Linked DNA regions of Macaca mulatta. The protein of the gene in region 2 interacts with the protein of the main gene of each other region in a pairwise test. Links are inferred from orthologs where the notes say so. Each region holds a gene or a part of one and is shown on either strand. Other genes may lie near its edges.

What was found.
Region 1: the proteins of SETDB2 (region 2) and ARL14EP interact in binary tests that used the Homo sapiens proteins (3 or more experiments, as listed by UniProt). The two-hybrid records come from large-scale screens. The link is inferred for Macaca mulatta from reciprocal best matches to the Homo sapiens genes SETDB2 and ARL14EP.

What each region holds. Positions count from the first base shown.
Region 1 is NC_133419.1:34,922,484-34,927,011, forward strand, and holds the start of ARL14EP (ARL14 effector protein), read right to left. Parts: upstream 2,855-4,528; 5' UTR 2,803-2,854; intron 1-2,802.
Region 2 is NC_133422.1:28,716,786-28,720,604, reverse strand, and holds part of SETDB2 (histone-lysine N-methyltransferase SETDB2), read right to left. Parts: intron 2,531-3,819; coding exon 2,414-2,530; intron 1,795-2,413; coding exon 1,625-1,794; intron 1-1,624. UniProt on the Homo sapiens protein: Histone methyltransferase involved in left-right axis specification in early development and mitosis. Specifically trimethylates 'Lys-9' of histone H3 (H3K9me3).

The DNA.
Region 1 (4,528 bases), on a different chromosome or scaffold from region 2:
ATTTTGCCTTCACTTGTGTATTTATTTCAATATTTCTGCTCTATAAACATGTCTACTTTTAACTGTCACTTAAACTGGTTGTAGCATCTTACCAGTTCCTATTTTAATAATCTTTTAATGCAAGAAAATATTAATTTGCTCCATTCAATCACTCTGGTCAGTATAAAACCTAGTACTCCTCATGGAAGAAGAAAAAAATCCAGCTTCTTATAGGATAACAAGCAAACCAGTAACAAACACCCCAGTCTTAGAAAGATTCACCACGGTATAAATAAAATCCAGGTTTTCAATACTTTTCAATGTCAAATAATAAAACCACTTTTTGACAAGGTGAATTTTGCTTGAGCCCTGCGCTGGTTCTTTATTAGCTATAATTTAAAAAATCCACCCTTGAGTTAGGTAAGACTCAAGGATCCCCCCTTGTTTACCTATGACCAGGCCAGAGAAAGACCCTCCAAATTCCCATTTTTTGCTTCAATTACGAATTTATGAATAATTTGCTCAGCTGCGTGGCCCTCCAGATCAAGTGGAACAAAATATTTGTTAAACTTTAGTTTCTCTCCTTCCCCCAGGTTCCTGAACTTCAGCCAACTCTCAGCCAGAGCCAGGGAATAACATTCTCAGATCTACTATTAGATCAAGCCACCCTTATATTCTACTTCCTCACACCAAAACTTTCCAGCACGGTTCACTCCTTGGAGACTCTTGCAGATCTTTTGGTTCCACCCATTGCAAAAGTCCCTTTTCTCCTCTTGCAATAACCCTTTTGAATAAAGTCTCTCCTAAGTCCAGATTTCTTATTTGACATTGTCTTAAAAATTCTGCATAGGAGAAAATTAAGACTTTCTCCTGCCTTAGGATTGGTATCATTTTACTTTAGTGCCTAAATACAGCATGTTTTGTGATTCTAAGATTAACATTTAATATTTTTGTAGCACTACCTAAGAATCAAAAGAGAATGAAATAAATGTAGAATACATTGATTAGACCTCTCCTACTACCTTAGGTAGTAAACAAAAGTATTTGTTCTTCATACAATTTGAACGCTGCCGGCTCAGGGAATTAACCAGCTTTACTTTAAAACATCAGTAGTTTTAAAGAGTTCTTAAGCATTATCTCTTGCTACCCATTAAAAAACGGTAAGGAAGGTAGACTAGGTTGAGGAAGCTGAGAAAAATCATACGTGGCCATGATGCTTGCAAGACTTCCTAATAAAGCAAGGTCTAGGACATTATCACAGGGGTTTCGAGGTGTTAATGCAGAACACCCCACCACCACTACCAAAACAGCAGAACAGACACTACCAAAACAGCAGAACAGACACTACCAAAACAGCAGAACAGCCACTACCAAAACAGCAGAACAGCCACTACCAAAACAGCAGAACAGCCACTACCAAAACAGCAGAACAGCCACTACCAAAACAGCAGAACAGACACTACCAAAACAGCAAAACAGCCACTACCAAAACAACAGCAGAGGGAATTGAGGATTAATCACGGAACTCACTTTTTCTTCCTAAATTTGTGGAGGAGATGCAGAAATACCCGTTCCAATATGTTAATTCATGTTAACATAGTTTTTTAGTTTGTTACCAGTCTCCTTATTAGTGGGAAAGTAAGATTTAGAGGAAATTTAACAAAACAAAAAATGTACCTCGTTTTGTAACTGATGTCTCTTTTACGAAAAACAGAAAACAAACTTTCATGAAATGTTTTATGAAAAAAATTAAAGGCTTTTTTTTTTGGCATAGGGTCTTGCAACTTATAAAGCATCTTCCCAGATTATCTCTTATTTAACAAAAATATAGTTTAATCTACCCCTACGCCCCAAATCAGTAGCTTTAGTTAAGGGCACAGACACCTACAAAAGTTACGCATCTTGCAACTGTGAACTTTTTGTGCCTGTCATCTTCAAATACTGATTACCTATAACATGACAATTGGCATTAATCAAAGAGCCCAAAGGCCAAGAGGAGAGTCTCAATCCTCAAGATCTAGGCACAATAAGAAAGGTAAAGTTAATTTAAAACAAAAATATAGTCTATAACATCATTGAAAACATTTGGTTCAAGTGTGGTAGTCACGACATGCCAGGTACAGTGCTTAGGGCAAATATCATCTCAGGAACCTTCATAGCCACCCTGAGGAAAGTACTATCATTCTCATTTACAGATGAAGAAACTCAAGCCTACAGCTTTTGTCATCATGCCTAACAGAGTGTCCCCAAACCCTGCAATGATTCCCACCCCAACCCTGTAAGAGGCCACATACATTTCGTCCTTAGTTCACGGCTATTTACAAATGACTAAAACCACCAGACCCGTCCAATGGGCACCTACTAAGTTCAAGGTACCGGGATGGAAAAATAAACATTAGCCTTTGACTTCAAAGGGCCAGGGTTGAGAAGATTCTGATTTGAAAAATTAAAAACAAAAATAGCAGAGATACAGGCTGTCTACAGGGTTCAAGGCCACAATATAATTCTAAGTAGTTCAAGTCAAAATCGTAGCTTTGAAGGCCCTGGGCCTACTGGACACGCGACGACCCTCGGAGAGGTCAGAGGCGGCAGAACCTGTTCTGGGCTTTGGCCCAAGGCGTTGCGTCGCAGATGAACTATGGGGTAGGGGTTGATCTGGGGGTGAGAGGCCCCGGCCAACTGCGGAAATCCCCCTCACGTGTGCGGGCCTCCTCTTCCCCCTCTCTCCGGGTTCCCCCGTGACGCCGCCGGGCTCCCTCGCCACTCAGGGGCCCGTCTGCACTCTCCCGCTCCTCCCCAGGGCCTCCCCCGCTCCCCTTCCACCTTAGCTTCAGCTCTCCTCCGCCCGGCTTCGGGCAGGATCCGCGTCCACACACGACACACTCGACCGCCCGCTTCCCAGCCAGTCCCCGCGCTACCACTGAGAGGACGGCAAGCGCGGGCTAGAGGAGCTCAACGCCACCACAAAGAGACGTCCGGGAGAAGCCTAGAGCGGACACAAATCTGGCGGCCTCCGGGGACGGAAGGGGCGGGGCGGAGTGAAGTGGCAAATGATTCAAGGCGAGGCAAGAGTTGCTCCAGAAGCTGTGTTTTGCAGTCCTCCGAGAGGTTAGGGATATGGGAGGTCCCTGGGGGCCATCTCTTACAAGACACAGTTCCCATTAAATTGGATTGTATTTGTAAATCTCCACACCTGTGCGTGATAGTAAACTTTTGCACGCAAATACCCCGACCTCTGAAGGAGGGTGTGTTAAAAGGATCTGAAGAATGGACCCGTTGTTTAAGGTCTCACGTTCTATTTCTTTCATTCAAGCGAAATATATTCCAAAATGCATCTTTTATTGTAAGCTATAAGAATAGCTATTACTTCGAGTAAAATGTAGGCTCCAGGAAAATCCTTGTAAATTTTCTCAGAACAGAAATGGCATTTTTCTTGTATCTTTATTGTCTGTCACAGTATAGGTGCTCATTAATTTTTACAGTAGGTTTTATTATCTAGAATCTTGGAGAACAGAACATCTCTTAAAGATTCTTGGCTTAATTATTTTAAGTTCGGGATAGCAGGGAAACAAAAACTATTGTTTGAAACCCCCCAGTGAACAGGCAAATAAGACAAGCTCCACCAAGGTCCAAACTTGCTAGTAATTCACTGCATTACTGTAAGCTGTTTTCTGCAGTGAGTCTATAGTCCTCCCACCACTTTCATACTGCTCCCCGACTAGGCAGGCGATTGATGCCTAGAACTAGGGAACGACAGAAAGGAAAAAAACAATGGGTAATTTCTTCAACTGTGTCTGCAGGAGGTTGCATTCTATAATTCTTTTACTGTTTACTTTGTGGTTGGCACTTTGTTAAGTAATGATTAGACAAAAAGAATAAAATGTATTTCTGCTTCCAAGGAACTCACAAACTAGTGAGAGAGGAATAAACAGTTAATCACAGTGTGGTGTGAAAAGTGTCATAACAGAAACACATGGATATAAACAGAATAAAATGATAGGGCTAAAGCAGGAGTGTTCTGGGAGCAGATTAATGCCTGCATGGAACTGTCATGTGGGAAACTAATTTGATGCAATGGTGGCTTCCCAGTAAACGAGGCAAGCTCTCCTAAAGGTAATGAAACAGAAGGCTCACAGCTTGAATTAAGATTATTAAATAATATAGCCTATTTAATTTCAGTATCCAGTGAAAAGGTGGAAGAGTTGTGGTAAGTGGACACAGTTAGGATAAGGTGCAAGCAAGTGGAAGGACACCATCACCTGAATCATGGGTTAAGTAATGTGCATATATTCTATCTGCCACAACAGCCTTCTCTGCTGATGGTATACTTATGAGGACCAGAGATGAGGTGTCAGCAAGGAGACCCACAGGTGGAAAGTGCTTTGGGCCAATGGTACACACCTGCTTTATTGGATAGAAGCAGGGAAGTATGCCTGGTCACAGCCAGAGCTTACTGGTTAAGTTGTTGAACAGATACAGGTTTTTTTTTTTTGCATTTCCTGGGCAGAGCACATATGAGACTATTCTAGGTGTGACCAATGGGTGGCTG
Region 2 (3,819 bases):
AAAGGAAAATGTTAAAGAGTTTGAACAACACAGAAGATAATTGCTAACAATAAATAGACATCTGTATTTCGACTCCATGACTAAAGAACCCATACGTTTTACAATGAAGATAAACACATTAACTCATCCTACAAAACTGTTGCAAGACAAAGACCAATGTGATATTTCTTATCTTCTAGTATATGAAAAAACAGGGTATCTAAAAAAACCATCTGTCTGTTTTGGTAAAATACAAAAGAGAAGAGATTTAGCTACAATGATCCAAAACAAAGATATGGATCAGAAAATACCCTAGAAAATTAGAGATGACCTCTAGTCATAAAATTGTAGCTTTTGTCTAGTTAAAAAGGCTTTATCATCTGAAACTTACAATTTTTAACAAAAGTATCTGTTTAAATATGTGGTGATATGTTCCTAGTGTTGTCATATTAAGTTCTGCATAACACTAAAATCTTAAAGTTTATGCATTTTCTTTCAAGGGATTCAATATTATAATTGCCAAGTCCAAATTAATAGCAGGATATTCTTACCCATCATTAGGTCAGAGACATATCTTAGGTATATTTTCTAGCAACAATGATAAAACCAATGATACTTCCTGGACACTGCTTGGCATTTTACAGGTAGCTTTCATCCAACAGTTATTTTGAGAAGTATGAGAGATGAATGTCTAGGCAGGCTGTGTAGAATGTGGATCTGTAAGTGGGGAGTGGCAGGGATCCATATGTGTGACTACTCTGAATTCAGATAACTCTGCAAGCTTTTTCTTGCCCTCCCTGATGTGAACCTGACATTTCTTTTCTTTTCTTTTTTAAGCACTTGGTCATGTAAACAGATAAACCTGATTTTTTCAGATGAGTAATTTTCAGAACCTGGTTGTTCTGTTCCCTGCTGCCTAGCTGCTAGAACTAAGTCAAGGACAATTCCTTTAGACTGGCTCTAAAGCCGTGTTTCCCAAACTTTCTCACATAAGGATGTGCACAGAAAATAAGGGGTTTTGCCTGACATGCTGGAGGTAAATGTGTAAGACTACCGAAGACTGATGTGTTTGGTCCTGGGGGCTGTGGCCCTAAAGAATCAGTAATTGCATGACTGTAACACACTGCTCAGGAAGTTTTGCTCTGCGGCATGGACAACTCTCTGCAGTCCCCAAAATAGAGTGAGTTGCCTAAAGTCACTGACTGAATTATAACATGCAGATATTACATAATTAACTTGTTAAATTCTAATAATAGCTCAAAACATTGAATAAGAAAGTTTTTGACTGGTAATCTTTACCTTGGCAAGCTAGTCATCTAGTTTTTTTACTTTTAAAAAGTTTTCTTCCCTTACCCCAAAGTACCTGTAGCCATGCGGACAAAACAAATGTGCCTTGGACATAACAAGCCCTCACACAAAAACCCGTGTCATCTCTGAACCTTTCTTTTCTTGAAGAAAGTACCTCCTAAGCATCTCATCTTTTTAGTGCTCAAGTTCCCAGTTCATCTGCCTTTCTCTGATGTTCCTTTTAGATACTGTTACTCTTTACCTTGTTGTAAGCTCTCAACGGCCCTGGCTAGGAAAATGGATATTCAGAAAAGAGGATCCTACCCTAGAATAATTTTAAAATAAACCTTTGCTTTACCTGAATAAATGCAAACAAACGTCCCTCTGTCAATGTCATCTAGGCAGCGTACACCCCATCCCTTCTGCTCAGTTTTGAACACCTGTAGCCTCACTTGAGGACCATGTTGGACAACACGGTTTTGACACAACTGTCGATTACATTTGCACAACAGGCTGCATTCATAAATGCTGTCAACAAAATATGCAAAAGAGAAAAACAGACACCTCATAAAGCAAAAAGCAGTTTATTGCCACTTCACTGGCACTGACAACTACTGAGGGAAGCAGGCTAAATGTGAAAGCTCTTAGAGATAGGGTGCCTGGGTTCCCATCACAGCTTCCACATTTACTAGCTGTATTATCTTGGATGAGTTATTTAACTTCTCTGTGCTTTATCTTTGCATTTTTAAAATGGAGATTATATGACAGTACCTCCCTTATAGAGCTGCTTTGTGAAGATAAAGTGAGTCAGTACCTTGAAAGGTTGAAAATTCCCAATTCTCAAATGAGTTCTAAACAGCGTATTTTTAAATGGAGAAATGGCTGCCCAAAGTAGGCTGATCCTACAGGGGTAAGAGCCAGTCTCAAAGCAGATGAGTGTTCGAGTACACTCCGCATGATGTATGTGTGGTCTCTGACTACCATTTCCATGAACAATATACAGGATTTTTATTCCTTAATAATTTAGATTTTTGGTATTGGAACCAAATTAAACTAGATATAACATCTATATGATTTTAGACCACAATAAAAGGTACCCACCTTCAAAGATATACACACCCTGCAACAAATCTTCAAGGTACCTTACCCAGTAGGAATCTGTCTCTGTAGTCTTTTATATTTATATCCAGTGGTTATTTTGTCACTTGACAAGGGGGAAGTTTTGGCATTCCTTGCTGTCAATTGAAGACATGCACATTTTGTTCTAAAAGGAAGGCAGTGGTTGGAGAAAGAATGAAAAAGCACCAAGTTAAGTCAAGAGACTGTCTTGATAAAAGTGTAAATGATGTAATAAAAGATGCAATAGCATTTAGAATAGTTTGGCTCATGAACACTATGAGCTTTTTCCCTACACAGATCTCTTTGAAAGACAATACCTCCCAAAAGTTTATAAATAATTGTAAACTGCACTGCATCTCTATTTGCTCATAAAATACTTAACTATATGAGTTTAGCTTTTAAAAATCAATTCCTTTAATTTCACTGTACAGCACAGAAGTTTGTTTGTGAGAATTCTGCTAGTTCTGCTCTTTTACAATGGATAAACTTAAATATGTCAAATTTGTAAAGATGTAGTTTTGCAGATGTCTTAAGTTCTCTCTCACTCCAGTGACACAGAAACAGACTGGGGAGATTGACGCTATTATTGAATCCTTTTTTCATACTGTTGCGAGGCAGGAAGCTTGCAACCATAAAACTTTATGTACTTTCCCCTCTATTCAGATGATTAACTAATTTGATAGGGAACCATAATTTGATACAAAGTAAGGAACTTGGGGACTCTAGCTGTATAACTAGGTAAGTGACTGCTGGTGAGCTGGTTAAAATCTCTGGATCTTAGTTTCCTTTGCTGAACAAGTGACTTTAAGGTCTTTTCCTCTATGATTCTCTTCTGTATTTTCTCTATTAATTCATACACATCAGAATGGTGGCTGCTTGTTTGCAAGAGAAAAGAACAATGACAACAATCAACAAATTCATTAATTTGGATTCTGTTTACAGATATGAAAATCTGTAATTGTTTTCTCCCATGTGATTTTGTGTGCAAAGTTTAAAAAGTACAGAACAATACAGTACAGAAAAATACAGATAATAAACATCCATATTTTCACCATCCAGAATTAGTTGTCAGCATTTTATCTAGTTCTTTTCCCTGTATATATAATTTAAAATATACATACCACATATACACCACATATGCATGGTCTTCTTAAAAAAAGTTAAAAAGTAAAACATTACAGATATAACTAAACTCTTTCAAGAGATTTAGTGTGGCATCCTTTATGCTTTTATATACACATGTATCTACAAACAATACATTGTGTGCTTTTCATTACAAAAAAATTTACTATAGGTATTATTCTATAACTTGCTTTTTTTTTTGTTCAGTATAATGTTTTTGAGACCCATCCATGCTATATACAAATCTAGTTAATTCCTTTTAACTTTTCTACAGGATTAGGTATTGCTCACTTCATATACAATTAAGTTAAT